Linked DNA regions of Drosophila melanogaster. The protein of the gene in region 1 interacts with the protein of each later gene in a pairwise test. Each region holds a gene or a part of one and is shown on either strand. Other genes may lie near its edges. The genes, in order: CG13407, Nup50, Membrin and CG7309.

Region 1 (7,858 bases):
CCACTTCAATAAAATATCTTTTATTTTATTTTTAGTGCAGCTTTTCACTGCTGAAAAAATGTTTTTCATGTATCTGATGATGATGCCCTACCCCCTCCTTCACTTTCGCTAGAAAGGGGAATGTAAAAGCGCAAAAATGTGACGGGCACGCTTGAGTGCGGCTCTCGTTCCCCGTGTTTTTTAGCCCTTAAACTTTCTTTCTTTTTGGCCAGAAACCCCTGGCCATGTTGTGTATTGTTTGTCAAACAACTTGAGAGCCGAAAGCGGCAGCAACTTTGCCTGCACTCCTACCTGTGAGCCCTGTTTCTGCACCTCAATGGGGGTAATGACTTATAGACACTACCCCAGATATATCTTTTATGTCGCATCTAGCTGGAGTTGAATTCACAGCGTCTTGGTTAATCAGGGGTTAAGGGATTGAGTTTGCCAAGGGATTGAGTAAGCCATGCATGAGCGCCTGGGCCATTGTTGCGTGGCCTTTTTAATTGGCCAGCCGGATGGATGTCGGGTTAATGTTGCAGCAACTTCTTTCGCACATTTAATTATTCCCCGGCAACAAAACAAAGGCGAACGCATTACATTTTTAATTTGAGAGCGGAAACGGGCGGTCCGAAAAAAAAAACTGCTTAATTTTCAGGAGTGTTTGCTTAGATTATTTCATTAAATTGACCAGAGCAGGACAAAGCCTGGCTGGCCTTTGTCCAGGACAATGCCGAGAGCGCGGACAAACAAAAGTGTTGGCGGAAAAGCAAAAAGTTTGGCCAGACTCCCAGGACTCCTGCCATAAACGCCAAGGACTTTGCCCAGCCGAAGGGGGTGGAACGTGCACTTAATTAAAGATAAGAATTAACTGCTGATTAGTAGTTCTTCTTTACACTTGACACTGCGCTGGCGGTAGTCCTTCTGATACTGCCACTACTCCAGCTCCACTACCAGCAGCTCCTAGTCCAAGTCAAAGTCCAGGCACGTAGCATCCGCTCCTTCGTCTTGGCTTTAGCTGCCTAACGAGGTTTTATTTTTGTTTCCCATTTGCCCCATCGCCGAAAAAGTTTACTTAGGGTTTTCAAGGACCTAATGTAGCCAAATGATTTATGCACTTTGCCCCAGACACAAAGTGGGTGGGGTTGGCGCACATGCACTGGCCGCATTTGTGATAATTGATGTGGCCATGTCGAGGCCTCCTTTTGAGACCCTCGCTTCAAATACTTTGACTTTGCAGCCAAGAATGTCATGCAAATGCCTTACTTCTTCATCCTAATTGACTGGAATTAACCCAGCAAAATATACCTATATCCAACTAGCTCTATTTCCTTTGCCAACTGATGCAAAGATAGTTCTTTATAAGAGATCTCATCTGAAATCGAATATACGTAACACAACATTTTATTCATTACTCCATTTCCCGAAGTTCAATTATGTTTGGCTTAAAAGTGTATGAACAGTAGCGACTCTGATTCACCTGCAGCTCTTGTGTATAATTTAATGCTTCTACGTGTTAATCACGGCAATTAATGTATGCCTTCGCTGTTGTCCAACATCCCACAAACTCGGCCCGCCCTCTCAATTGTCCTTACGAGCACATCCTTCAGTGCGGAACAGATACAGATACAGAAACAGCCATCGCTGGCAGACACAGACACGAACCGAGCTGGAGATACAGATGCAGACCCATAAATATCTGGCACGTTCAACAACTCAAAGGGAAAAACTTTCGTTGGCACTTGGCTTAAATGCCTCATTTTCCAGTCATTAAATTTCGCTGGGCGCTCTTGCTGACCAATTTCGGTGGCCATAAAATCTTATAAAAATGTTGGTGGCAAATGTTCGGCTACTAGTTAACTACAATATGTCCGAGTCAACTTGTTATTGACTCTCTGTCTCGGTCCTGGGAGGGCTTTGAAATATGTTGACAATGGCGCCAGCAACAAAAGCTAAATATAAATACCCAATCCACAAAAAAAAAAAAAAAAAAAACAGCCCCCCATTTATGTTCTCAAATTTTCAACCCCGCAAGGCAATTGACTTTTCGATATGCTTCCCTTTTTTTTGGAAGAATCAGCAAAAGTCCTCTAGTTTCTTTTCCATAGTTTTTTGCCCAACATTTCCTGTGGGCCAAATTTTTGGGGGTTGGGGCAGCGCGACAAATCAAAGCGTTACAAAGCTGGAAAATGTGTGGAAAAGTTGCAGTGCAATTTATTATATGCTTTTGATTCTGCAAATCTAGCTGATGTTGTTCTTTCTTTTTTGTTTTGCTCCACGTTGTCGCTAGCACTGCGGAAATGTTAAATATTTGTTATTGCAGTCTAATGTTTCCGCTTTACGAAAGACAACAGACAGGGATTTTTCGAGACTGTGCTATGTTTGTGATCGAAGAGTTGTATACTTCTTGTTTAAAAGTAGTATATATATTACAATTAAATATAGTTAGAAAAAGTTAGTGGAAGATCAGAGCACTTGTAGTGTGTGATAACTGATATAAGCAGCACTAATATACCCCATAAAATTCAATTCAATATAAAAATCTTTTCTGGCAATGAAAACTATTAGCCCCAGTCATAAATCTTTAAGACCAAAGGCGTGGATGTGGAGAAGTGGAAGTGGACCCCAACCAAAAGCCGGGTTCGACTAACCGCACAAGGGACCACAAGAACCGAGCTCCATTTGGCTGCACAGACGACAGTGGCAAAGTCTGGGCCAGACATGGCACAATTATGACAATTTCTGATGCATAACGCTGCATCCATAGAGCTTTTAATGCAATAAACAAGCGACTGGAGCGTCATTAACACTGACAGGAATCGGTAAGGGTAGGGAGTAGGAGGAGTGTAGGGGGGGGGGGGTTGATGCCAAGGAGCATTCCCGGCCTTTTGTCGCTCACTAATTGTCTGGCCTGGCCGAAATGTGCAGCGCATGCATGCAACGCAACGCTCCAATTCAGGTGTGTGTCAGTTGGCCGTTGTCGCCACAAAACACTTTGCCGGCAATTGTCAGCTGGCTTTTGGGTACGTGTTACGAACAGTGATGGGAAATGGAAATACTTTCTCCACGGAGTACAAAATTAAATTAAGATACTAAAGATTACCTTTCCTGAAATTCAATAAAGAAGCAATATAGCAAAGTGGATAAAGTAAGGAGCTCTCGTTTAGAATCTATAACTTCTTCTTTTAATAAGTGAGTTACTATGTTTTTTGTAATTTTTGTACTTGTACCTAGTTTAAGTATTGGTACAAATGCTTTGCTCGAGCCGTACCTGCCAACACTGCCATTGAGTAGTTGTTTTAAGGCCGTTGCAGTTGCAAGTTGCTAGTTGTAGCCAAACTCACTTAGCAGCTGACAATGACAGTCGCCTGCCTCTCTTCTTTCCCGCATCACCAGCAACACCACTATCAGCACCACCACGATTACCACCCACTTCAAGTTCACCTGCGTTAATAGCCGCCTGCCAGGCAAGTGTCTGGGAAAGGCTTTGCCCAGTTGCCTAAACGACATTGTCACTTGCGGTTGGTTGGGCGCATCATCTCCTGCTGCTTCAGCCCCAAACTCCAGTTCGTCGTGCTCGTCCTGTTAGTCCTGATCGTCCTGTTTGCGGCTTCTGCAGTCGAGTTGCCATCGGTTTATGGCAGGTTGAGCACCAGCGACAATGAGCCACGCTGGTGCACCGTGTAGTGATAAACATGCGCGCTTTTCGGCACAAATCAATTAGCAATTGAATTTGGTGAACTCAAAGACGGTGAAAATGTCCGACGGCCAAATGACAAATCAACTCAACGTGCAACAGCAGGAACAACATCCGCTGCTTTCAGCCATCTCAGGAAATAATTATGCGTAAGCCATGGTCAAAGGCATTGGGATGTCGACTGTATTTGCCATACAGCCAAATCAAATTAAATTTGATATAATTAAGAAGTGGCACACTCACTCAGTTCCCTAGAATTATATTGTTAATCTGAACTCGCTTAAGTGCTTTTTATATATTTATCAAGAAGTCCTGCTAAACAACATCGTAAATAATGAATTAATTCTTTTTCAGTCATTGATATATGCAAAACTTAAACGCTTTAACAAACTTCTTTCTTCTATCCTACGTAATATTAATAATCGCTTAAAGGAGCCTTGAAAGAGTTTAGTCAGTTGCAACAGGATAAAGTGTGCTCTTTGGCTTAAAGATTAAGTGCTGGAGTGCCGGAGGCAACTGCAATCGCAAACGACCCCTGGCCCAAAAGACAGCCACTGCGGGCGCGGACTGATACCTCAGGCACTTAGCCGGGCTAATGTGGGACACAAACAGAAGCGGCGTCTCGGCCACACAACCACATGCCCAACCCCCCCCCCCCCCCACTCACTCATCCGCTTGCCCGCTTTCACCACTCACCTTCTAACCTTCTCTTGCAGTCAAACGCAGCGTGTGCATTACTATCCCAACCACTACTACCCGAGCCACTACTTGCCGGGCCATTACCACCAAGGACACCAAGGATACCAGGGGCAGCAGGGACGACCACCGCTCCTGGCGGCCGCCAGCAGCCACAACGGTGCTTATGCGGCCACGGCGGCTGGCAGCGGACACTCCGGCTACGGGTAAGCAAAGAACCACCGCTGCACTGAGAGAAAAGCAATGGGATGAACAAGAAAATTCATTCCAAATATACAAAGAAATTAAACTGTTATGAAAAAATATAAATAACTATTTGAAGATGAATATATACTTAATAATATTGATACTAATGAATACTAAAGTTTCGAACTTATCAACCTAAATTACCTATTTCTTCCTGTGCACTGGCCATCAAAGTCAAACCATAACCCCAATTCCAGTGCAAGTTCCGCATCTAATGCCAGTTTGAATTTTGCAGCGGCATAGAGCCATCCGTGGAGTACGAGCTGCAGCATGACCCACCCTCGGGTAGCTTCTCCTCCTTTCATCCCAGTAGTGCGGGCAGTGGGCCCGCATATCCATCTGCCCACCATCCGCCGGCTGGTCCACCACCGGCTCCTCCGCCCACCAAATCGTCAAAGAAATCGAAGAAGAGCAGCGGTTCGGTGATGAACGCACTAACGCTGCTCTCGTTCTTCTTCTTTGTTAACATGCTGCAGAACTGCCTGAAGGATCATATGGCTGACATGAATCCCACCGTGATGGTGCTCACAGCCAGCGGCACTCGCAATCGTTTCAACAAATTAGCCGAGATGAATTCACGCGAACAGACCTCGACAACGGCCACCGAATCGGTAACGGCATCGGCAGCGGCATCATCTTGGAATCATCAGGCTGCTTTAGTTCCGGCCGTCGAGCCAAGTGTGCCGCCCTCCATTGTTACGCCCACGGTGGTGCTGCAATCGCCCTACAGCCGTCACACGGAGATGGCCAATAAGCCGCCCCAACGCCAGCCAATGGAGTACCAGTCGAACCCTCAGCAAAATCATCACGATTATCGGCCCCACAACGCGAATGATGATGCTTATAATTACGGGCAGCGCCGACCTCCGCCTCAGACCTTCTCCACCTCCGATGGCGGCGATTTCTATCCTAATCGCACACACATCGACCACTCGTCCCGGCCCGACTTTGAATCGGAGTCGGGCTCCGATTACTATCAGCACCACTATAACCCGTATGCTGGCACAAACTCCCATCGGCATCCTTGGTCTTATGGCAGGCAGCGTTACTCATCCGCACCGTGGTCTTCAGCTTCGTTGGGCGCTCAGTCGGGCGTGAGCTCTTACTTGGATAATGCCCAGCGACGGCAAGGTGATGATGACGATGGTCATGGTTATGGCTATGGCTATGGCCACAGGGATAGGGATCGGGATAGGGATAGGGATACGGATGCAGATGGTTTCTGGGATGAGGACGAGAATGGTCAGCAGCGGCGACGCAGCGATGCTTTCTATACTCGCACACGCATTAATTGAATGCAAGAATTCCGCGCACATTTCTATGTTGCATGGCGGGGATTTGCTGCATTAACCCATTGCACAAAAATGGGGTGGCATAATGTGGATGGGCAAAAAAAGATGTGAATGGATTTTTTTTTAGAACAGCTAAAGCAGCGTTTATAGCTTATGGCATTTTACATTCTGTAAATATTATCCACGCTCTTTCGTTGTAGCTTAAAAATACCACATTTAACTTACTTGTATTATTGATTTTCATATAAAGTTATAATACGATATAAGAATTATTTTACATTACCTTTAAAAGTTGTATATCATAATGCACGACCGAGGGTTAAAAATGCTTAGCTTACATGTATTTATAATTAAAAGCAAACAACGTGCATAAGAGCTGACAAAAAATGAATGGAAAAAGGCGATGAGGCGGTGAGGCAGACAGACACACCCGGCAAGTTGGAATCGTAATGAAAATAAATGCTAATTTGTTGCACAACAAATTAAAAGTGCCCCCAGATTTTGCCTGGCGCTTGGCTAAGACTTTATTTTATTGCCTGCCACAGCAACTAAGTTGCAATTTTCCGGACTCACACACCCGTTTGTCTAATACAAATCTGTTGCATTGCTACCTAGCTAGCAGTTTACTTATTTAGTGGGATTTCGTTCTTGGCTCCACAATAATCACGGCCAATGAGCGGCAAAAGCAAACTCGTGTCTGTTGGATGGTGGCACTGGGGTAGCTTTAATTAACACATTTAGCGCAATTTAAAATGCATTTTGCCATTTGGCGCGCGTGCACTACAAACAATGCTATCAATTTCAACAACTTTGATTAAACGTCATTTGCAGTTTGCCATTGCATGTGGTGATGCCTCCGACGGATGCACTTTTTTCCCACCACCGTTGGCAATGGGAAAGGGTTGAAGTTGATTCTGGCAATTGGCATTGTCAGCGCTTTGGCTGCGTCGCTCCTCTTTTGCTTCATTTGCAATTAAATGCACGCAGTAGCAGATGCAGATGCAGTTGCAGTAGTAGCAGCAGTAGCAGTAGCAGCAGCAGCAGTTGCAGTTGCATTTCGGCCTCAGCTTCGGTCGGCACTCAAAAGCGTAATTTAAAATTCTCTTGGCTACCATTTTTCGAGGCCCTTTCTTCGCTTTGTGTCGGTGATATGGCTGGTTGGAGTGGAGGCTGCCAGTTTTGCACGCATCGCGACTGCCTGACTGACTGGCTCACGGCACGGTCCCCGGCACACGGTGCGTATGAGTTATGCAGCGACTGCATGGAGCAGCAGGAGCAGGAGCAGCAGCACCGCCACCACCCCACGGCCAAATGAAGTTAATATAAATTTTGCTTTACAACGGCGATGGGCGAACGTGTGCGACTCTGGCCGTTTATACGTATATATGTATATAGCGACTCTGGGCCTCCCATTTATTTAAATAAATTTATGACTTTAAGTGCAAAGTGGCAGCTAATGCGTGATTTTCGGAGCCAACACGAGCACGTAACTGGCGTAAGTGCTGCTCAATGGAACTCTAGTAGAGCCCAAAACTGGTTGCCAGCTAGTAGAATCGAAACAGTTCATGATCATCAAGGGTTTATGAATGTATCTATAGTGGGATACTGCTCAAGAGGCTAGGTAATACTTATATTATATATTCTAACTAAGCATTCGTTGGCATAATTACTTTAAGACCACCATTCCCAATGTTTTTCCCAAAGTAGTAAAGACAAGTTTGTGCTTAAATGGAATGAAATTAATAAGCTAGAACATTTCGTTACTTGGTGAAATCTCTAAGATCCCTGATAAGCAGTCAATCCACATTAATCCTACTGCTGTCAGAGCTTCATGATTTTATTACTGCCGCAACTACCCAGCTGAGATCATAAAAGTGAAAATTCTCATTACCCAGCAGAGGTCCAGAGGATGATGAAAGCGATTTCGGCTGGTTACTGGCTTTTGGAC
Region 2 (7,833 bases), on another chromosome or scaffold:
CACCCCTTCGATACTCCCATCATATTTTATGGCACCAGCTAATTGAAAATGTACGACAAGGTCACTTCTATTATTAAACTTAATAACCGAACCAGCACCATTTTAAATGCAGTCGCATGCACCAATTAAGACAGCAAGTGAAAAAGATTCGAGGCAATTTCCCTACCGAAACACACCCCCCATTTTCCAGCATAAATGTTTTATGCGGCAAAGTTTTTTATAATCCGAAACCGGAACCGCATAAACAATGATTTCAGTACATTTCCGAAGTCGAGAAGGAAAGAGTTCGTTCCCCCATTGACCCGATGACTCTCCCCAATTGCCTCCAATTCAAAATGCTGTGTTCAGAATTGAATTAGCCGCCAAGGAGGGGCGCAGGGATCCTGACACAACTGCGAATCATATGGGAATCGGCAAAGATCGCTTACATTCCTGCTGAAACTGATATATGAGCTACCAGACAACAACTGCCCAATAAATACTGCAGATGGAAAAAAAAGTAACAAGCGAATCGGCCAAGACCGAACTCCGGGAAACCTGACTATTTGCGATTGCAATTCTATACTACGCGATAGTCGCTGAGTGGCAAACATCTGGGGACAAATGAACCCCTAGCAATCCGCCATCGGCTGTAGAAGATTAGTCATGTTGTTGAGCAAATTACTGGGAATGCAAACAACACGCCTAGACCGAAAACAAAAACCAGCTAACGATATTCGTCAACTTGTTTTGCTCTTTGGACGAGTTGCGCGGCCAGTTAGCTGTTTTGATAACAAAAGATGCTAATTTATAATAAGTCAAAGCCCCAGAAGATGGCTAAAACAGCAGCACTTTGTTGTGGAGCGGCCAAATGAATGGCACAGAGAGAAACTCTTGGACGCACAAAATTAAATTTCATTTTAGACAGTCAGTTTTACAGCTGCTCCAAATATAATAAACACGCAATGGGAGAGACTGGCTAAAAAAAAAAGAGAAATAAAATTCATTTAACTGGCGGGGAATGGAGGTCACTGGGCTGCTTGGGCTACACCAAAAATCCATCAGCAAAATTAAATATTAAATGTTTGACGTGGCGTCCAAGAAGGCGGCCCAGAGTTCCGGGAAAAACTGGGCATGACGTGACCGACCAATAAATCGTCTAATTTTGTTTCGCCGGGCGGGCGCTGCATTAGCCTGGGGAATTGGAGCAATATGTGTATATTGCACAACCGGCCCACTCAAGGGTCTTTTGGATGACAACATGGATGACTTTTCCACTTAGGCGTTCTGTGTTTTCTGTGGACGATATCCCCAGCTGACTGAGTGTTCCCGTACGGGAATAGCCGCGGTTCTCGGATTCGCTGCTCTTATCACACGCCTTTTTCCGGCCGTAAAATACTCTTTGTGTGCTTAGCTTTATCAGCGGGCGATTTATATCCGTGCACTTACATACATATGAAAGTGGAGGCGACATCACAGCTGCCTTGAGTAAATATAGAAATTACAGCATGCTTATGTGGCAGCCACTCCCACTTCGGTGCCCAGCCCCCAGTTCCCTGCGCCCCTAGCTCCATCTGCTCTTGCACGTTCCGGAATGCACTTTGTATTTCCATTGTACTATTTTTGTGGAATCGTGGAATCGAGGAAAAACCACCTTGCGGGCAGACAGAGAGAGAGCGCGAGCCGGGAGAGAGAGACCGCACTAAAATAACAGGCGGTGGCTCATTTTGGCGCCGCGCCAATTTACAAATCTGTCCGCTGCAGCCCCCCGGAAAATAGTAATCATCACCGTTTGGCAGGGGGCGTCGCCTGCCATGTTAGCTGCAGTATCGCGTGGTCACATAGCCGTGCTCCTGTTTTCACTTTCACCGACATCGATCAGATTCCATTAAATTAGGAACTTTGTTTTGCAAAACCGATTATTATTACAGATTATCCGCAGATGGATCGGAATTTTAATCATTGAAATAAACAAGTAATGACGATAACACATTCCTCACTCTCCGTAGCCTACGAAGATATTAGTTTTTGAACAGTAAACCCAATTTTTCAGCGGTTCAAATGCCTTTAAATTCAGTGACCCCTAGACTGTTTATATGTTTAGCTCAAATATAAAACTATATAGACTGGGATTCCCAGAACACACCTGTAAACCCACCAGGATAGCCCACCTTAAACTAGGGATTGCTTGGGCTGTAGGTACACAGATTGTTGGCTTTTTGGACTACCTGCCTCTACATAAGGAACATGGCTTAGGAATTGCCTGGTCAACACACTTACCTCTTCCAAGACGCCAATCGTGTGGCGGCAGTCGGGCATCCTCGAGGCGAAGGTGGAGGTGGTGGGCGAGCTGTAATCGGAGCGCGTCTCCTCCACAAACTCGGACACGGCAATCAGGGATGGCGGCATTTTGCTGCTCAGGATATCCCGATGTCCTGGTATATACAGCGTATCTTTTACTCACACGCACACTCACTCACACACACACACACGCGAGTCGCACGCACACCAGCTCACGCCCAAGGCCGTGGAACGGGAGCAAAATGGGAGTGGGAGCGGGACGGCAAATAGCTGAGAAACTACCAGGATAACGCCTTTAAGCACTGTACGTGTCTCTGCGTCTTTGTTCACTCCCGATTTGTGTTGTTGCTCGTCGCACTTTCCCTGGCACTATATCCATATATCCACACACTGGCGTTCTCATCATCCTCATGCAATTTGGCTTTTTGCTTTTCGCTTTTCGGTTTTCTGCGTTTTTGGTACTGCTCGTACTACTCGAGATGCACAATTAACTTTGTCTCTGGGCGAGGGAAGTGCGCAGTACCCGGAATCGCGGCAATCATGGTAGGATCAGAAACACACTCGGACTGGTACTGCTACTGTGACTGGGACTCGCGGCACTGGACATGGTCGTCCTAACTTTAGGCGTGATTTAATACTTTTGTTTTATTGCGATTTTGTGCTGCTGGCGTCTCGCTGTTGTTACCCTATCGATATGCTATCGAAAGCAGCAGGCCTGTTTCGCTGACTCACAGTTACGTCGCCCAACTGAGGTAGCGATAACATTTATCGACCGCCAGCAACGCGGTGTGGATTTTATTCGGTTTTTTTTTTCTTTTTCACTGGCATTTGCTTTGAGTTTTAATACAGAGTAGAACAAGATGGCTGGCAAGCGACAAGCCACTTCGAACCTGAACCACGAAAACTGGGACCTGGAGGAGGAACCCGAGGAGCGCGGCACATTCCGCACGGCCACCGAAGAGGAGCTAAAGACACGCGTTATCAAGAAGGCGCGCCGCAAGATTGCCGGTGGATCGTCCGCCGCTGAAGAGGATGGCGCCGAAGAAAAGACTGCAGAGCCCAAAAGTGTGTTCAGTGGCTTTTCCGGTAAGCTATCAAATCCATGCAGACCTGAGGGACTTGCTCACTCCGATTGCTTTTAGGTTTCGGCAAGCCGGCTGCGAGCCCAGCCGCGGGTTCGCCTTTCTCCTTCCTGGCCAATGTGACGGCACCAGCCACGACCTCTAGCAGCGAGCCAAAAAAGTCTGCATTCTCGTTCGGGTTCAGCTCCAGTTCCAGTTCGGCCGATCGGCCTGTCAGCACTAGCATTTGCGGCACCGCCAGCACCAGCAGCACGGCCCCCTCTCCTTTGCCGGCCAAGGAATCAACAAGTACCGTCGATGGCGCCAAGCCGACCACCTCGATATTTGGCAACATATCAGCTGCCAAGAAGGAGAGTAGCGAGGCCAAAACCAGCAGCAGCAGCACTAGCCTCACATCCACCATGGAGACCTCCGAGTACCGTGAAAGCGTTGCTGACCTAAATCGGTCCGTCATAAAATTCCTGCAGGACCAAATGGGCAAAAGTCCCTACTGCATACTGACTCCAGTGTTTAAGAACTATGATGAGCATCTAAAGGATCTGCAAGACGAGGAGAGCGCCAGAACGAACTCCACGAAATCCAAAACGGCACAAGCTCGTTCTCAAGAACCAGTTGCAAAGGTGTCCCGTGCATCGTCGCCACCAAAAGCGGCTACTACGTTTACGTTTGGCAAGCCCAGCGCGCCAATAGGCGCCAGCGTATCGCCCTTAGCCAAGAAACCCAACTGCACCATAACCAGTGGTGGAACAACCACCACGACCGCAACACCACTGGTCTCCTTCGGCAGTACGGCATCGTTCACTGCGCCAGTGCCGTCCTCCTCCAGTATCTTCAGTTTGACAGCAAAACCCACTGGAGAAGCCAAATCCGATGATACCCCTAAGTCCAGCATTTTTAGCTTTGGAGCAAAGGATACGACCACTAAAAAGGATGAGCCTAACTTCTCGGCACCGAAGACCAATGGCTTTTCCTTCGGACTGAAAAGTAACAACGACGACAAGCCAAGCACCTCGTTGTTTGCGGGTTTCGGAAAAGCGCCTGGAGGAGCAGGAGACGGCGCAAAGGGCTTTTCCTTCACCAACAGTGCCACGCCCTTCTCTCTCGGAAACATTCATCCGCCAGCTGCAGCGGCAGCGCCTGCGGAGGAGGAAAAAGAAGAGGATACGCCCCCAAAAGTCGAGTTTAAACAGGTGATGATAAAAGAATTTTCTTTTCGAAGGGAAAGATAATATAACTTCTACTCCAAACAGGTTGTGGAGGATGACGCTATATACTCCAAGCGGTGTAAGGTGTTCATTAAGAAAGACAAGGACTTTGGCGATCGTGGCGTGGGCACGTTGTACTTGAAACCTGTCAAGGACTCCGAAAAGATCCAACTGTTAGTCCGCGCCGACACCAATCTGGGCAACATCTTGGTCAACCTTATTCTTAGCAAGGGTATACCTTGCCAGCGCATGGGCAAGAACAATGTGCTGATGGTCTGCGTGCCCACGCCAGAGGACTCCAAGGCCACATCGCTGTTGCTACGCGTAAAGACCGGTGACGAAGCCGACGACTTGCTGGAGAAGATCAAGGAGCACATCAAGTAGAGGATAGACAACTAACATGAATTCGTACATATAGATGTTGTTTAATCGTTTGTATTTTAAAAGCTATAAATGTACGAAACCCTGGAAATAGAACTCAAGAATGTACACACAAAAATGATAATCAGTCAATTGTGGCTACAATGATTTTGGCTTCAAGCATATCTTTGAGATGAATACTTAAAGTTCGCACATCCTCAGAAGACTCGTCCAACCCACTCATATAATATTGACGCAACATGCGACCGATTTCGGGGGGATAAGCTAAAAATTTTAACGAGATCAGTTTCGGGTATACAATTTAAATTGATAGTCGCTTACTTATTGTTTCCACTGTGACAATTTTGGTGCGCCGGTTAACGTAAGTGCACCTCCCGGCGACAAATTCGGTTGTGCCAGAATTGGCGTTTCCCTTAATCTTCAGCAGTTTAAATATAACCGTATCGCCCCTGGACGGCAGGCTATTGAGTGGAGTTGCAGTCCGCAGTAGGTCCCTTATAATATCCAAAGATTGCCTATTTTCTACTACTAAGATGTCAAGGGCACTCATAAGCATACATCTACCATTTAAATGCCTCGTATCTCACCTGGAATCGGTTCAATATCAGAGTCGCCGTATGAAACGTCGATATTGGAGTCGTCTACCAACATCACATCGTCGTCGGAATCGGATACTAGTTGTTCCTCAAAAATGGGCACTGTTACCGTTTTAACATCCTTCGAATCAACGTTATTTTTAATCGGAGATGCACTTCCGTCATCTGGCAAAATTTTTTCGACTTTGGGTGTTTTTTCCATAGATGTGTTGTTCTGTAGAAATGACTCAGTAAGTTCAAGTGGATTAGTTGCTTCAGCTTCGGACGGAAGAGTGGTCTCAGCTTCAGTCGAATTGTCCAGATAAGCGGATTCAACTGCTCCTATGGCCCCCGGAAGAGTGGTTGATGTTTCAATGATGTCTTCGCAAAGAGGTGCAACTGCTCTCTTTATACCTTCTGAAACATTTTTTTTATCCTTTACATCTGGTAATTCTTCGTCGTGCAAAATTTCGTAGGATTTAGGCTTTAAGGTTGAATCCTTCCCATTGCTTGGGAATTGTTTAGCCGTATCATCACTCTTAGCTCCTTTCTGCAGCAAAAAACGAGGACTGATGGGCTTAAGTTTTTTATATTCCAGAATTTCAATTTGTTGTTTTTTAGTGGGAAATTGAAATATGCGCGGAACATTAAAGGGCATCTCCAAGAGAGGGGAGCGGAACGAAATCGATAGGAGGCTAGCAGCAATGCCAGGACTCTTCTCAATTTGGTCCCCTGCTTTCAGTTGAGATAGTTTATCCGGAATTTTGTTGGACTCCAAGTGTGTTTTGTCCTGTTGCTCCTCTCGAGTTTCGTTTTCCTTCGTTACCACACCAGATTTTTCTGATAGAATGTCAGGCGATGTCTCTTGATTCTTGCTTTCTGACATTTTACCCTCCTTGAGCGTGCATCGAGAAATACTCTTAGGAGCAGGTTCATTCTCTACCTGGTCAGATGCCTCGGGCGATTTGGTCGGTTTCTTGTTTTTGGATTTATTTTTAATCTGAGGAGCAGATTCCTTGTTCTCTGTCTCGATGTTCGCTGACATGTTAGAAACTTCTGTCTGAGTTTCAGGGGCCTTTGGAGTGCCTTTGTTTGTCAAGAGCTTTGATTGTACAGAAGGTCCAGGAGCCATATCTAGCAACTCCTTCTTTCTCACACGAGATGGGTTTTCTGCAATATTTATCCATTCTGAGTTGTTCTGGTTCTTGGAGCGCTTTGAAGGTCGGAGGGGAGTGGAGGCGGTTAGGTGAACCTGTTCCTCGACGGATCGATTCTTGCGCTTTTTACTGGATTTTACAGGAGCAGGGCTCACAAAGGTATCACTATCGTGGCTGGCAAACCGAAAGGCTCTGCAAGGGATGAATATGCTCAAGTAGATCGTAAAAAGAAATAAGCTCACCTACTTGAGTCCTTCGGCAGAGTTCAACACTTTGATAGACTCCCTCGGGGGCAGATAGCATCCATCTGAGGTGAGCAGACTAATGTCCTTCTGTTTGAATGCAATTTATTTAGAATTAGCAGTTAGAGATTCTTAAAAATCTTGCCAAGCTGAAGAGGTTTTGTATGTGGTCCTGGAGGTCCTTGATGTTGTTCCATGCTGCATCGATGAAAACCAACGAATTTCGTCGTTCGTCCTTGAAAAAGTTTGATAGATCCACCTTCATGCTGGAGTGTTGCATTTTTGACTTAGTTTTCTTATGATTAAAATGATTTTAAATGTGCTAGAGATGGAAGTATGTTCGATTTCGTTATCGTTAAATCGATGTGTTTAAATTTCTGTCAAATTAATGTCATATTTTTTGTAGCGATTTATAAAAATAAAGCTTATTTGAATGACAAACTACATTAATATTAAAAAATTGCAATATGGAAAACAATATATTTAAGTCAACGAGATTTTACTTGAAATAATTTAAGTTAGTTTTAAAAATGCCTAAAGCAGAGGGCTGTAATAATGGATAAATTAAAGCTTTGCCTTGCAGAGAATTTAATTTTTTAAACTCCCCTATGTTATCGATAGCATTTACCAGCTACGCACGACCGATAGCGATAAGACAGTTCTTGTGTACAACGAAAACAAATAGTTCTTATCAATAAAGTTAGGCATTGATCACGGCTCCGAATTAGATCAATGATGTAATTCCACCACGAGGAAGCTCCGATCCGATCCGATTCCACTCCAAAATGAGCCACGGCGACCAGAGTCAAAACCAGAGCAGCCAGCGGAGCCAGGCGCTCACTGGCGGTGGTGACTCCCCGAGGGACAGGGAGAAGGAAAAGAAGGGCTGGTTCCACTCGCTGACCAGGCGC
Region 3 (6,544 bases), on another chromosome or scaffold:
AAAGGTGTAACCATTTTCGGTGCAAATCTAAAAATGAATTCGATTAACTTTACGTAGAATAAATATATAACTAAACAAGCTTCAAGCAAGAATCATTGAAATAATGCAAACAAATTCGTATTCAATCCTTTTATCATTCATTACATACTTTGCAACGAATATAATATACCCTTTTACTTTGCGATAAAAGGGTATAATAAATTGCAGCAACTTCGTTCGAAATGTTTGCTTAAAGGAAATCTCAAGGATAATCTGATTGCGATGCTAAAGCAATAAGCTGATGAAGTTTTCCATACACAAGTTCGTTACCTAGGATAAAACTCAAAGGACAACTTGTTGCAGCAAACATCGTTTTTGCATGGCGCAATTGCAATTGATGCGATGCAAATGCAATAAATTAGACATCAATTTGCAGCAAAAATGTCCATATTATATATATTATTATAGATCTCCCCCCCCCCTTTTGTTGCAATTATTTGCCTAAAACCGAAATTATTTCAATTTGTGAACTGACAATGTCCATACGGACTTTCGGCGGAAAAGCGAAAGGATAAGCGGAGTCATCGTCAGGATATTAACACTATCACTTCCTGCACTTTCCCACTACCTCGATGGCTAATCTCGAGTTTGTGTCTAATTGCATTTGCATATTTTGATAATATTCGAAAAGGGGAAATGAAAGTGGCAAATGCATTCGCCATTCGAAATACTCAGTTTAATGCGGATTCAAAGGGAATGGAAAATAAGGGTGGAGGCGGGTGTTAGTGAAATTTAATTGCATCGTGCGAAGAAATCCCGTTTAATTACGGCGATTAACTGTAATAATTTATTAGTTTTTGCTTAATTTGTGACATGTGCAAACAATTAGTGATTCAATCGCATGGCCAAAAAGGAAGCAATAATAACTTTGACTAATTAGCTGTGTGCGGTAGGCTTAATTCGTGGCGAAAATAATATGGCTGAATCACAGAAACAATTAATACGCTTTTTTTATTCGTTCGTTAAGTTTTGTAGTGCCACATACTAAAGAGTAGGAAAAAAAAACGTTGATAAGTAATTACTCTCATTGAATTTGCATTATTTGTTAATACTTTACTAATTTAAAAAAAAATTAAAGGAAGTTAGATTTTACCTATTTATAAAATAGTTCGATTTAAATGTAAGCATAGGACATATAATTTTAGCAAATTTTTTTTGTTTTTAAAAAGTAACTGCACTTGAAAATGTTTTTACACAGGATATGTACATTTTAAATGTACTCCACTGTAAGATTACACAAAATCATTTTTTTTACACGTTACTTACACTGTTAAGTGACAAAATTAAAGGTAGCAAATATCTAAATTATTAACCCTACTTATTAAATATTTTATATATTTTATATTCAACATAGTCATAAAAAATTAAACATAACTATTTAAATAAATATAAGTGCTGAAGATATAACAATAAATTGCTAAAGCGGAATCACTTCTGTAAAATAGCCTAACGCCTCGTTCTCTCTGTTAACTGCTCTCCGTTTGTCAACACTAAAATGTTAAACAAATAAAATTTTTTGCGAAGCACCGAAAACAGCAACTGTTTGTAAAATATCATAAATTATTTATTAAATTAATTAAAACCAACGGGAAAATGGCAGCAAAAGTAGCGAGCGGCACGAACAAAGTGTTCCAGAACGTGAGTATGGGTGAATCATCAAAGGACAGCTGACTAAGATGAAAAGTAACCTCACTTTGTCATGGTTTTTTCTGTGCATCTGCTCAATTGAAATTTATGATATATATTTTAAATCGCATTTTCAGCACGATGACGTGCACATCTCCTTCGAGGATCAGCAGCGGATCAACCGCTTTGCGAAGCACAACGCCCGCATGGATGACTTCAAAGCGGAGCTGGAAACGAAGCGCAATGAGCTGAAGAGCTTGGAGGAGGCGCTGGAGGAGATTGAGCTGTTCGACGAGGACGAGGACATACCGTTCCTGGTTGGCGAGGTGTTCCTCTCGCACAAGCTGGAGAAAACACAGGACATGCTGAAGGAGACCAAGGAGCAGGTGCTCAAGGAGATCGCCGGCGTGGAGGCCAAGGCGAAGGTTATCAAGGCGGAAATGGACGAGCTGAAGGCTCATCTGTACCAGCGGTTCGGCAGCAATATCTCACTGGAGGCCGAGGATTAATCCACAATTGATCAATTGTTAATTTAACATTTTACAAAATAGAGTACATTTAATTTAAACTCAACTAAACGCGATGTCTTCAGATTAGAGCACTAGGAAATAGATGATCAGGGCGATGATAAGCAAGGTGACCACCACTCCTCCGATGAATATCCGACGATCCTCGACCAGCCGGCGTTCAATAAGTTTCATCGTGTGATTGGACAGACCCAGTGTGCTGCCTATCGCCTGGATTCTCTTGTGCGCTCCGCCCAGCGTCATTCTCTGCGAGATCAGGCTCTCGAGAATGCCGCTGCCCGAGGCAATCATGTCGTCCACACCCCGATGGGCGTTACCCAGCTGCGTATGATGCTGCAGTTCGTAGTCCAATTGCAGGCGCGTTTCCTCCGGCTGCGCGCTGTTTGCCGTGAATCTGTGATTCAGCAGCTGTTCCCTCTCGGAGATCTCCTGCATCCGTCGCTGTCTTCGTTCCCGCGCCGTCTGCAGTGATGTCTGCAGGTGTCTCAGGTCATATTTCAGCTGATCCACACGAAGTTTGGAGCTTTGTCGCTGCGAAGGTGGCACCTTATACAACAGCACATCCAACCGATCGCAGTTTCTAAACACAAAAGATTTATTTAATAATACAAACTCCTCTTGGGATAATATATATCATTGTAGAACTCACGCGTTCGCCTGGGTAATCTTCAATTGAATGCCGTTTTCCACGTCAAGCGATTCCTGGGCACTGAGCTGACTCAGTCGCTGGAAATCGCGCTCGATGTCCTTTACCACATTGTTGGTTTGGTGGTACAAGCTCTCCATGTCGTTACACCTATTGATTCCGCATTAATTTATGGGCCCGAGAATATTCGCAAATTAATATTTAATCGGTTGCAATTGGTTTGTTTTTAAAAAAGCTGACGCGTTAACATTGGACAGAGTGTCATGTTAGTTAACAGCACTGATAGCAGAGCAGCTGGCTGCCGTTTTTGGTATGACCATATATTATGACAAACTTATCAGCTAATGCAACTATTAAATTTCCTTTTTATTTTCAGAGAATATGCTATATATTGTTAAATAATGATTTTTAATTAGTGACCAAATATTGCACTTGACGGCGCTGTTAAGTGTTACCACTGTTAACGGTGTAAAAATCAGAGTTGTTAAGCAAGCCAAGCAAAACCTAAACCGCACTGGTCACATCGCACTGGAAACGCGTTAGCACACTTTTACGGTATTTTAGCACTTAGCATTAACCACAATGGCGAATACATCAAGTACCGGCGTTGGTAAGAAATAAAATTGATAAATTAGCAATTTGGCAGCTTAAAAATGCGATCCCCGCACGCCCGGAGTTGTTGGCCATCCGTTTTCTGCATTTCCCGCTGACCGGCGGCGATTTTTCCGCCGCTACGGACCCGACAAGCGGACCGCAATGTGATTGTGTGTGTGGTGCAAAACGGGCAAAAAGAAGACGAAAGCAAGGGCGAAAGACGAAAGCCGATAAAAGCGAAATGGGCGAATGGAAATTTATTTTCGCCAGCGGACCACGCTGCTCTTGCAATTTTCCTTGGCCGCGTTTGGCGTTGGAAAAACTCCGTTGCAATTGGGCTTCGTGACTTGACATTTTCCGAAATATCATCCCCGCTCCTTCCTCACTATGTGGCTCTCGCTCGCTCGCTCGCGCACGCTCTTCTTCTTGCCTTCATACTTAAAGTTTTTTCTTTATTTTCCTTATTTTTTGCACACTTGCGTTTTTGCAAGCTGCCTTGTCTTTTCTAATTAAATTAGCTGCCATTTACATTTGCCTGGATTGTTTTTGCAAATGCAGAAATTATGCTTTCGCCCCGCCCCCGCCGACACACCCTCCCCCCGCGCCCATCGTGCTTAATATCTGCGCTTCGCATTTTTTTTTTTTGACTTGTGTTCTCTGCACGAAAATGCGTACAAAGTCACACGGCCGAAAACAAAAACAACACGAGAAGCAGAGCGCAAAACAACAACAACACGTACCCATATGACCCCACACTGAGAGGAAAAGTCGCCGAAATATCACCGAAAATGGTTTATACCATAGAAAATGTGTAGAACAGTCCTTACTAGTTTGTTTCTAAATAGATAAAACTGTCGTTTATAATTATATATATGTATCTTATCTGTACGAGCCCGTGATTATAATTATTTAGAAAGCTAAGTACTTTCTTGCCCCGCCAACCAGAAAATTAAAAACAAGCTGACATTTAACTTAATGACTATATTTAAAGATTTAAGTTTTTCAGTGAAAATGCATTATGTCATCGAGTTCTCACCTCTTTGCCGTTTCACATTGCAGTGGTGCCACGGAATTTCCGCTTACTGGAGGAGCTGGATCAGGGCCAGAAGGGCGTGGGCGATGGCACCATATCGTGGGGCCTGGAGAACGACGACGACATGACGCTCACCTACTGGATCGGCATGATCATCGGTCCGCCTAGAGTAAGTTTCCATATCGATTGGACTTTCCTCGCTACGTCACCAGATAAGCCCGGTTTATTAGGCAATTCTGTAGGATTATTGACATCTTATCGCTTAGATTGCGCAGACCATTCAGTTTGGATAGCACCTTGTATCTTTGAAGGCAGTTTATCTCTTCAGTGCGATGGAATTTGATAATATTTGCATTTCATTAGCACCGCTGATGCAACTCATTGTGAGTGTGGGTTTCAAAAGTCATTGGCTTCATTAGCTTCTTATGTGGTAAATATGAATATAAAATGTACCTCTGCTAGATTTTAATCTTATATGAAAACTACAAGCTGCAATCTGGGATTATTGCTAGAAAATATAGGTATAGAAACGCTCGTGCTAATTTATTCTTATTTTATTCACAAGAAAATATTCCACTTTACATGCATTTATTGGGGAAAACAAGGCTCTAGCCTTGAATTACTAGCAAGGAAAGCGGCGGAAAACTAAATTTGCATTTAATTTTTGTATAGTCTAGAAGTGTTGCGCGCGCCGCCGCATGAATCATTGAGGAGTTTGGGTGGCAGGGTCTTCTAACAGAGCCCCAACTTGGTTTAGTTGCATTGGCAACTAAAGTGGAGAAGCGGTGGACTAAGGGGAATGGGAGCGCCTGACTCATCGACACTCTGGCCGCAAGTGCACAGAGTATTGAATCATTCAAGAATCATTTAAAGCTAATGGCAAACTCTTGTGTTTATTACAGACACCATTCGAGAATCGAATGTATTCACTAAAGATCGAGTGCGGCGAACGCTATCCGGATGAGCCACCAACGCTCCGGTTTATAACTAAAGTAAACATTAACTGCATTAATCAGAACAATGGCGTGGTAAGTGCAAGCAATCGAATGTGGCATATAAACAACGACGAATGCTAATATATTTGAATTTGCAACAGGTTGATCATAGATCAGTTCAGATGTTGGCCAGATGGAGTCGCGAGTACAATATAAAAACGATGCTGCAGGAAATCCGTAGGATTATGACCATGAAAGAGAACCTGAAGCTGGCACAGCCGCCAGAAGGTAGCTGTTTTTAGTCGACAACATCCGTTAGCAACACCAGCAGCAGCTGCAACAGCATCGAATGCAACGCGAGCGGGAGCAGCATCCACACCCAGTAAGAGCCGGAAAACGAACCACCATCATCAGTCCAAAAGTCCAAGACCAAGGTGGCCACACGTGCGTGGAATTAAAAAGAGATTGTGTGGCGGCTGCTCCGCCGAGTTGCCATCGGTGGCAGCGTATGCTTATTAATGAACGTAATAAAGATCGAGTGCGGTTATTGTGGCAAGAACAACAACCAAATGCAAGCTATATACTATAAGTAAAGGGAACAGCAGCGAAAAATGCGATAGGAGCGTCACTATGAAGAGGTCGTCGTCGTCCCTTCCGTCATGAACTATGTCATCGTGTTTGGTTACCTTACTCTTCTTACTACTTCAACTTCAGTCCCCAAACAAAACGAAACGAAAATATGAGAACTTCTTTTGAATAAGAAATAAAACAGCAGCAAAAGAAACAAGTTAAATGCCTGAATGTTTCAGATTCAAAACTTCAAATCGAAAATTCGTAAACTAATCGAACAGAAAAGTAATGCATAACAATGATAACGATTAATCAAGATCACAGCGTGAGATCCGAGCGTAATTATTGTTTTTTTTTGCCTAAACTAAAAATTTATTAATTATATACATAAAGCAAAATATATATTAATTTAAATAAAACCAACATGTCGAACACAATTTTTGTAGACGGCGCCAGTACGAACGTTTTTTTTTTTTGTTTATCATTGATGAAGCGATTTTGTAGTTGATTTTATATTCTATTCTTTCGAAAATCTTCCTCCCGAATCGCTTGGGACGAGGGACGCGATTTATAA
Region 4 (8,129 bases), on another chromosome or scaffold:
AATTTATGCTTCCGCTTCAACCGAATTTATGGTATCATTTTTTGAAAGTCCTAAGGTGCGCAATCTTCGCATCACTCTTTTGCACTTTTTCACTTTGTATAGATATTCTGGAAAAGAGCATTTGAGATGCTCGTCTTGTGGTGTTTGCTTAAACATTTTGCTCGGCAATCAAATCAGCTATGGGACCTTGGGGCGTGAGGAGACTGAAGGATGGTGGCGAGCAGAAAAGGGGGCGTGGCTGTCGAAGGAAGCGACGAAGATACAGTTCGTTGATTTTGTTACAAATAATTTAAATCTATGTCAACATTTGGAACGCATCGCGATAATAATTCATTTTTGCCTTTTGCCGCAGCTTCGTGACAGCTAATCACTAGAGAGAGACGGCGATAGACAGACAGACAGACAGAGGGAGAGAGTGAGAGATATATAGGGAGCGACTGACAGGCGGAAAGGCAAATAAAAATGGACAGTGACAGCCATTTTGAAAAATGGCGTCATGGCTGCCCGATTTCCGCCGGCAAATGAATTTTCCCATTTGACGTCGTCGACGTTGTTTTGTGTGCTAATTTAACGTCTTTTTTTTCACTCGCCGGTTAAATTAACAACAACATGATACCAATAGGTCGCTCATTATGACTGGTCTAAAATGAGGGCTTTATCGCGAGGCGCATAAATTAAATAAAATTCACCATCATGATTATCGATTGTGTGCACATGCGCGACGCCATCAATGGTAATTGTTTATTTGTTTTTCGATAAAATCATTTTAATTTCATTAGTTTCCGCTTTATTGTCTGTTTTGCCATCCGAATTCCCCATCAAGTTGTGCGCATACATTTGTCCGAGTTTCAAAAATATCGCTTTATCTGTGACAAATGTCAGACAAGCGATTTATCCTTAACTGTTCAATTGTCATGCATATTGCTATGAATTCAATTAGTAATGAACATCATGCAGTTTTGTTGAGCCTTTCGATAAAATTGTAATACTGATTGCTCGCATTTTTATAAGTACCTGCAAATCTGTTACCTATGGAGTAACAACATAATTGGTGTAAAAATATATTGTAAAAATTAATATTTCGATGCCTTTTCCATTCAGTGTACCTCCAATTTTAGCGTCTTTATTATCTTAACAACCGTATATATCAGCTCCAGACAACTTTTTCAACGTCTGAAAGGACAATGGCCGACTTGAGCTTCCTGTTTGGAAGTTATCGTGAAACCTTCGGGGTCTGTCCATAAAGCAAACAATGCAACCCAAGAAGACCCAAATGACGGCAAGAAAATCTATTATACTTGGGAGTGCATGCGCATATAAAAGGAGTACACTCTGAAAGTTATAATGAATGGAAATAATGGCGCCGCAGGTGAATAATCCGACACCATGTTTGTTTCTTGGGCGCTGGGATGTTGGGATGTACATTTTTTTTCATCCTTTCCAATCTGTCTGTTTTATATCCGAATTTGCATTGTACCTTTTTGTTTTAAGACAATGGTTAAAATGTCCTCTGGCTTTTAGTTTTTGTTTTCCTCGATTGCTGTCAGCAAAATCAGTCACAGACGCGATTGCAACTGACAGCGCAGCAGGAATATTATTCGTAGAAAACATTTCAATTACAAAATTGAGCATTATCTCAAATTTAAACATGTATTTTTGGAAATACATGTATTTTGTTGTATATTTGTTTTTTCAATTTCACCGCGAATCTTGGGCAGATGTCAAGAAGGATAATGAGCCTAGATTTGGGAATAAGGAAATGCCAGTGAGCTCGGAATTTGCCAGCGTGGAAAATCAGCTTAAGGCGTGCATGATATTTGAATATATATGCATAATTTGTGCGTCTCCCTTTTTGGGGCTTCCAATGACTTTAAGATGGAAATTCCTCATCTGACTAAGAAGTAGAAAAGCCCATGGGATTTTCAAGACAAATTGAAAGGCATGACAATAAGACCTGAAAAAGTGTCACAGGCCGAAGAAGGCTCTCCCATTTTATGATTTCATTGAATTTTCAATAAAAATTAGTTACAGCTTATGGGATATTATCGAAATATACACACGCAATTGAATTTATAAATGCTTATATTTTATTTACATACTTTTTCCACAATTTACAAGTACTTGCAACATCTGCGGCCGTTAACCTTGACAAAATCAATTAAATGCGCAATTTTGGATTGTCGTGAGTGTTATGAATATTCACGAACTCTGCGCCACTGTATTAATATTTAAATAGTTTGAATATAAATGCCTCCCAAAGCTGCTGACGCCGAAACCTGCAGCCGCTAATGTATTTTGGCTGGAGAGGATTCACGCGACACCAAACCGGCAAGTATCCAGCCGGAAAGAGTTTGCTAGAGGGATGTAGATGTACATGCGTATGTAGATGCGCCTGGTCCTCGTCTAAATTAACAAATAAATTATTCAGTGCCAACACTTGTGTGGGCAATGTTTGGACTACAGCGATGTGAATTAGGTGCGAATGACCAGGCGGGGATTACCCTAAATGCGAAACTGTGTAATTTGCTTAAAAGCGTTGGTCCTCGGACAACACTTTAATGCCATGTTTGTACTGGCCACTCTTCACTGTGATGCTGCAGTTTCTGAAAAAAAATAGGAAAAAGTTGATCCAAATTTAAGTTGCTTTAATTGGCAATGGCTACGTTTTGAAACATGTACATCACAATTTGAAATGAATTTCAAAAAATTTTGGCTCAGAAACTTTATCCAGTTCTTTTTTGTTGGTTTGTTTGCTGTTTGATCCTTTCTTTCGTCCTTATATTTTTCTAAAAGTTACTGCCACAGCAGCAGCATTTTGTTTTGCCATCACCTGTCCGTGGAGCTGAATTTTCGTGGACCAGCTGTTGCCGAGCCATCCCAATCTCGTCCAAATCCAGTTCCATCTCCGATTTTGTATGCTAAACGTGTCAACAAGATTGCTCTACACACCGCATTGCAGTGGTGTTTACTTGGTAATTTTATCAAATGCGGTTGAGAGAAATCGAAACGGAAATTTGGATGGCTGAACTGAAATGAAGTTGAAATTAGTTGAATTCAGAGCACCATGGTGCGGAACAAGATGGTGAATCCAGCGATTGTGCAGAACATGAAAAGCGTCAGGATACTTCCGCCCAGCAGCTGAAAAATCCGTTAAGATACACATATCTATACATATATATATATATATATCAATTCGTATTACTTACAAATTGAAAAGGTCTGACATTGCCCCAGCCGGCGACAATTGTGTTGGCCGGGCTGCTCACGGGCAGCAAAAACTGATTGTGCAACGCGGTGGCAAATGGCAGTGAAAAGGAATTACCCTAAAATTACACAAAAATATTAGTGAAAGGAATCTTATTGACTTAATATGATATGGCTTAGTCCGACCATCCTATCCATTCATATTCATTAATATGAATATACAAATTTTGACTCACCGCGGTTACCATGGTGGGCAATGCCAACTTGGCCACGGTGGTGGCCGGCGACAGCGTGGTCCAAAGTGTTCCAAGCAAGGCGCCGCAGATGAAGCTCTTCATATTGAATCCCTTGTTATCGGAGTTCATCGAATCCGCCAAGTAGGTGTTCAATCCACAAACAGCGGAACTATAGCTAAAGCTGAAGGCGGCGCCCAGCATAAAGATTTCCGCCCAGGGAGTATTGTTGTTGACCGCCTTCCAGCCCAGAAGTGAATTGGCAGGACCCTCCTTCTCCGGCTGGCGGCAAACATAGTATCTGCAGAATATATAGTTGGCCGGAATTGCGAAGAAGAGAATGGACATGCCAATGCCGGCCACTGAGAGACCAGATTCCGCCTTATAGTTTATACTATCCCAGCCCGTAAAGATGCGCGGCTTGCGAGTGGCCACCAGCAGGAACATCAATAGAATCAAGCTCAAGGCCAAGATGGGATATATTCCCCAGGGACCAAGAGCCTGTTTTCTTTCAGACGCGGTCTGTTTAAAGCCCGCCTTAGCCCCAGCCATTTCCGCCAGATCGCGCTTCACACTGCCTCCAAGGAGACCGAGGAAGAGGACTTGCAACCAGAAGATCATGACAACGAGACCCATTAGAGCTGGTCCCGCCATTAGCATGCCAATTTCCAGAACTGTAAGAGACCTGGAAAAGTAGTTTGCAACTTCAACTTTCGTACCTTTTCGAACAGCAATTAAAACCATAATCACCCCCCAAAACCATCGCTTATCACACCATTGGGATTGACGATGGGCGAAAGACTTGCTGCCAAAGAGGCTGCGTAGCAACAGGTTAGGTATATTCCGATTACAGGACGCGTGGGATATGGTTTGCTAGGAGGCGGATTATAAAATTAATTGGATTTGTGGAAGGTACTGTACTGTCAAGGACTCACGATCCAATTTCATAGGGCTTCTCTTCAGAGTTTAATTTTATCAAACCACCCTGTAAAAAGTATGTAAAATAAGTTAAGATTCAGATGTTGGTGATTTCTTACATTATCGTATTCCACCATCACGGCTTGGGACACCTTCATCCAAAAAGCAGCGGATATTGTGGGATTCACCAAAATGGACACAATGGCCGCGGCGATGGTCAAGAAAATCTGAAGACTACAGAACGATATTCTAAAGTAATGTACAACTCAGCCATTTAAGGACATACAATTTCAAACTTCCACCGACCAAGGAGATGACAATAAAAGCCAAGCGGTCACTCAATTTCGAACTGTCCATCATGATGCCCATGAATATAGCGGAATAAACGAAAAATATGAGATCAGTGTAGTACGACACACTGATCTCTTTAGAGCTCGCAATGCCTGCAACGGGTATGAAAACCATATAGATGAAGGCGGCAGCTCCTCTGGCCATTAAATTTAGGATATAAATCAAGTAAAGACATAGTGTTAGATAGATGAAGCGGCAAATCTACAGGAAATAAGTTAATTAAATGCCTTTCAAAAGCCTTGCCATCTCTTACCAGTACTGGAGTTCCAATTAAAATGGGTGCCAGCAAAATAGGTATGAACAAAAGTAGAACTCCTTTGTAGTGGTACTTGCAAAATAATCTGCGATCATCTTGCTCCTCCAGGGGAATATCCCCGGGCTTGTAATCTTGAGTACTTGTTTAAGGATCATAATATATAATATATTAATAAATAGTTCGATTCTGTTGTTATACTCACGCTGCCATTTTGTACGACTAAAATAGTTTGCTCGGATGTTCAATTTTGTTACAGCGTGTTGCCTTAATGACTCACATGGAAATGGTTGCTATGCACAATGGTTTCAATACTGAAGTTTACTGAACCAAATTTGTTTTCCGGTTTGTAAATATATATATATATATTTACCTATCATAGCGTTAAATTATTTTAAGTTTCGGAAAATATTTAACCTAATAGTTGGAGTTTTTATTGCAAAAGTTTTTTTTTCCTAACTGCCAAGTTAACTCACGTAGTGGGTCAAGGGTTTTTCGCTGGCCAAAAACTGCATCGCGAACAGCGACAGGGGAATTTGGCCAATAAAAACTTTGGTCGGCCAAACTGAGTCTGCCGAGTCTGACTGAGATGCACTGCATTGTGGGTCGAATCCCGAATCCGGATGGTGATTCCGATTCTGATGACGATGGCGATGGCAACTTTGTGGGAACACGTGGCGCGTAACAACGCGCGGTCGTCGGCAATTTTGCGTAACTATTCGCCGTTCTGCTTCGTTAGTGGCTGAGCAGAAGAATGAGTCCTTTCGCAATGGAAACTGTTTAAAGTTGCCAAAATAGAACAAGCAAGCATGTCACTGCAGATAGTGCTAAATTAAATGTTGCACAATTGTTCACCTGTGTCAGCAAACTGGCCATGATGCGTTCCAAAAAATGATAGTTATACATACTAAGTATCAAATTACTTATCGTTTTAGGAAGTTTGTATCAAAAATAAGTTGGTTTGGAATTTTAAAACTATATTTACTATGAAAATCTTTGTAATATGAAATGAGTTACCAACTGCTCAACTATTTATACTATCTGGCATACTTTTCAGACTTTTTCATTACCCATCTCAGCACCAGGATTTAACTTGATTCTAAAAACTTTCAGCAAGTATTAAATTCACTCATCGTTCGACGAAACTACTCATAATTTGCTGTCTAAAGGGGCGCCAAGTTGCCGTTGCCGGTTTTGTCCGATTGACACTCGGTATTTTGGTGTTTTAGTGGCGATGGCAACCAGGCGGACAAGCAAAGGATGAAATCCATGAACTAACTGGCAACAAAAAAGGGCAATGCCAAAGCGGAAGTTGATTGACTCCTTTGGACACTTTTTCCATACGGAAGGTTGATAAACAAAAATGGCCGACAACTTTCCTTCAGCTTCATCCGGCTACCATTGTTGTCATTTGCCTGAGGCGCTGGGGCGAGCCAACATGACGTATACATAACATAACGAACCAATCCTTGATTAGGGTTAACACGAATCTATGATGGATGCTTGGGTTTTATGGCACGGCGAACTCGAGATCAACTCAAAAATCACGGCTATACATATGTTGCCTGCCATTGTGTTCTTTATTTCAGTTAGCTACAAGGTTTTGGGATATTTCGAATCACCTTAAAGTCTAGGCCAACTTGCGACATCGTCCTGCCAGGAGACCCCATCCGGCCCAGCAACGCTTTTGAATCTCGAGTAGCATTTCACCTGTCACGCCGAGCTGGTTGCTCAGAATGGTGGCACATCCAGTGTTTTGGAGCGGTATTCGCAGCTTCTGTTGCTGAAGCGAACGACAATAGGCCAACTTGTCCGGCTGCTCCTGAAGCTCCAGTGCTATTTGAGCCGACCAGTTGGCTATTTGAGGGTCCAGCTGCATCAGGATCAGTGGGATGAACATTAACAATCCGATGGCAATTGTGGTCGCTGTGTTCATGGCGACAAATAGCAGGCAACTGAGCTAATAAGCGCCATCTAAGCTACTAGCTGTTCATTTAAGTTCCAACAGCTGTTCTTGATTTGCATTGAAACTTTAAAAGCAGCTGAAAAATAACCAATAGAAATCATTGCCTGCCATTTGCATTCTTATCGAGCAATTGAAAATTGCACCTCAATATGTAAAATTATTTTATTGGGTCGTTTGAATCTTGACAGATTTTTAATATAATGCATTAATTTGTTGAATAAGTAATTTATGTGTAGCGACAGTTTTAACAATTCATTTTTTATATAACACCAAGCTACGTACACTACTTACCAACAATCTATCTACTTATTTAAGCAAATATAAAAAATCGAATGTGTATTTATACAATAATGTAAAATAGTTGCAAAATATATGTTCAAAATGAAGCACTTTTCTGTAGTTAGCTCTTATGTTCTTTTTATGATTATTACAGTCCGTTTAATTTGTAGCTTAGTGTTAAAGCTGCTTTTAAAAATTATTTCTTTCATTACCATTTTTTTAGGCAGGCTCAATTTTAATCAATATTTTTTCGCAGGACTGCAAAGTGAAATAGCCTTTAATATACGATTCGCCATTTCCCCATTTTAACGCTTTATTTTCGCCCAAAGTTTTCGTTTGTTTTTAGACCTTTCAATTGCTTGTTAGCGGTTTTTTCTTTGTTCGGCCCTTTCATTATCGGCACCTCTGTTTTTTTTCCGAACGTCGTCATTCTTCTGGTTGAAATTGCATTTGGCGAAATGAATGCCCGGTCCTCGTCCTTTTGGCCACTTTGGCCCCGGTGCAGCATCGACCTCGAATGATGCATGCAATCGAGTGTAAATTTCTCCGTTTTATTATTTAATAACGTCGCTGAGGAAGTAACTTTTCTGCTATCTATATGATGGTTACTGTCATATTTACGCGCCCATTTCCCATTTTTTATCCATACCCTGCCAGGCTATATAAACGAATTGTCTGCGTGAATGTAAGTGCAAATTGGACAACTGAAATGACACACCTACCCGCCTTTCACAGGTAGCACACACACAAAAAAAACAAATAAAATGTGTATAATATGGGCAATATTTCTTTTTGGTACTCTTAAATTTTTGAGTAACTTGAGAGGTTTCAGTGTTCATTTTGATTGGCTTAAAAATGAAAGGATTAAACTGGTGATAGACAAATCTCAGCGTGAAATTCATTCGGACGCACCGAGGAGGATTAA

The links.
Region 2: the proteins of CG13407 (region 1) and Nup50 interact in a two-hybrid assay, tested with the Drosophila melanogaster proteins (one large-scale study listed by BioGRID).
Region 3: the proteins of CG13407 (region 1) and Membrin interact in a two-hybrid assay, tested with the Drosophila melanogaster proteins (one large-scale study listed by BioGRID).
Region 4: the proteins of CG13407 (region 1) and CG7309 interact in a two-hybrid assay, tested with the Drosophila melanogaster proteins (one large-scale study listed by BioGRID).

Annotation. Positions count from the first base shown.
Region 1 is NT_033777.3:22,099,678-22,107,535, forward strand, and holds CG13407 (uncharacterized protein), read left to right. Parts: upstream 1-3,736; coding exon 3,737-3,825; intron 3,826-4,392; coding exon 4,393-4,578; intron 4,579-4,853; coding exon 4,854-5,913; downstream 5,914-7,858.
Region 2 is NT_033778.4:8,119,998-8,127,830, forward strand, and holds Nup50 (nucleoporin 50kD), read left to right. Parts: upstream 1-3,038; 5' UTR 3,039-3,140; coding exon 3,141-3,366; intron 3,367-3,422; coding exon 3,423-4,552; intron 4,553-4,612; coding exon 4,613-4,951; 3' UTR 4,952-5,061; downstream 5,062-7,833. Other genes in the region: Asap (ArfGAP with SH3 domain, ankyrin repeat and PH domain), read right to left, coding at 2,260-2,388; coil (coilin), read right to left, coding at 5,073-5,212, 5,270-5,476, 5,536-6,872, 6,927-7,012, 7,068-7,202; Socs44A (suppressor of cytokine signaling at 44A), read left to right, coding at 7,708-7,833.
Region 3 is NT_037436.4:5,363,033-5,369,576, reverse strand, and holds Membrin (membrin), read right to left. Parts: upstream 3,123-6,544; 5' UTR 2,979-3,122; coding exon 2,842-2,978; intron 2,773-2,841; coding exon 2,259-2,772; 3' UTR 2,196-2,258; downstream 1-2,195. Other genes in the region: Pfdn4 (prefoldin 4), read left to right, coding at 1,633-1,677, 1,803-2,174; Uev1A (Ubiquitin-conjugating enzyme variant 1A), read left to right, coding at 3,421-3,448, 4,492-4,634, 5,368-5,493, 5,562-5,702. UniProt on the Drosophila melanogaster protein: Involved in transport of proteins from the cis/medial-Golgi to the trans-Golgi network.
Region 4 is NT_033779.5:10,903,641-10,911,769, forward strand, and holds CG7309 (uncharacterized protein), read right to left. Parts: upstream 5,254-8,129; 5' UTR 5,173-5,253; coding exon 5,165-5,172; intron 5,102-5,164; coding exon 4,960-5,101; intron 4,908-4,959; coding exon 4,642-4,907; intron 4,590-4,641; coding exon 4,475-4,589; intron 4,423-4,474; coding exon 4,373-4,422; intron 4,311-4,372; coding exon 4,188-4,310; intron 4,123-4,187; coding exon 3,441-4,122; intron 3,324-3,440; coding exon 3,207-3,323; intron 3,139-3,206; coding exon 3,055-3,138; 3' UTR 2,630-3,054; downstream 1-2,629. Other genes in the region: CG14069 (uncharacterized protein), read right to left, coding at 6,590-6,895.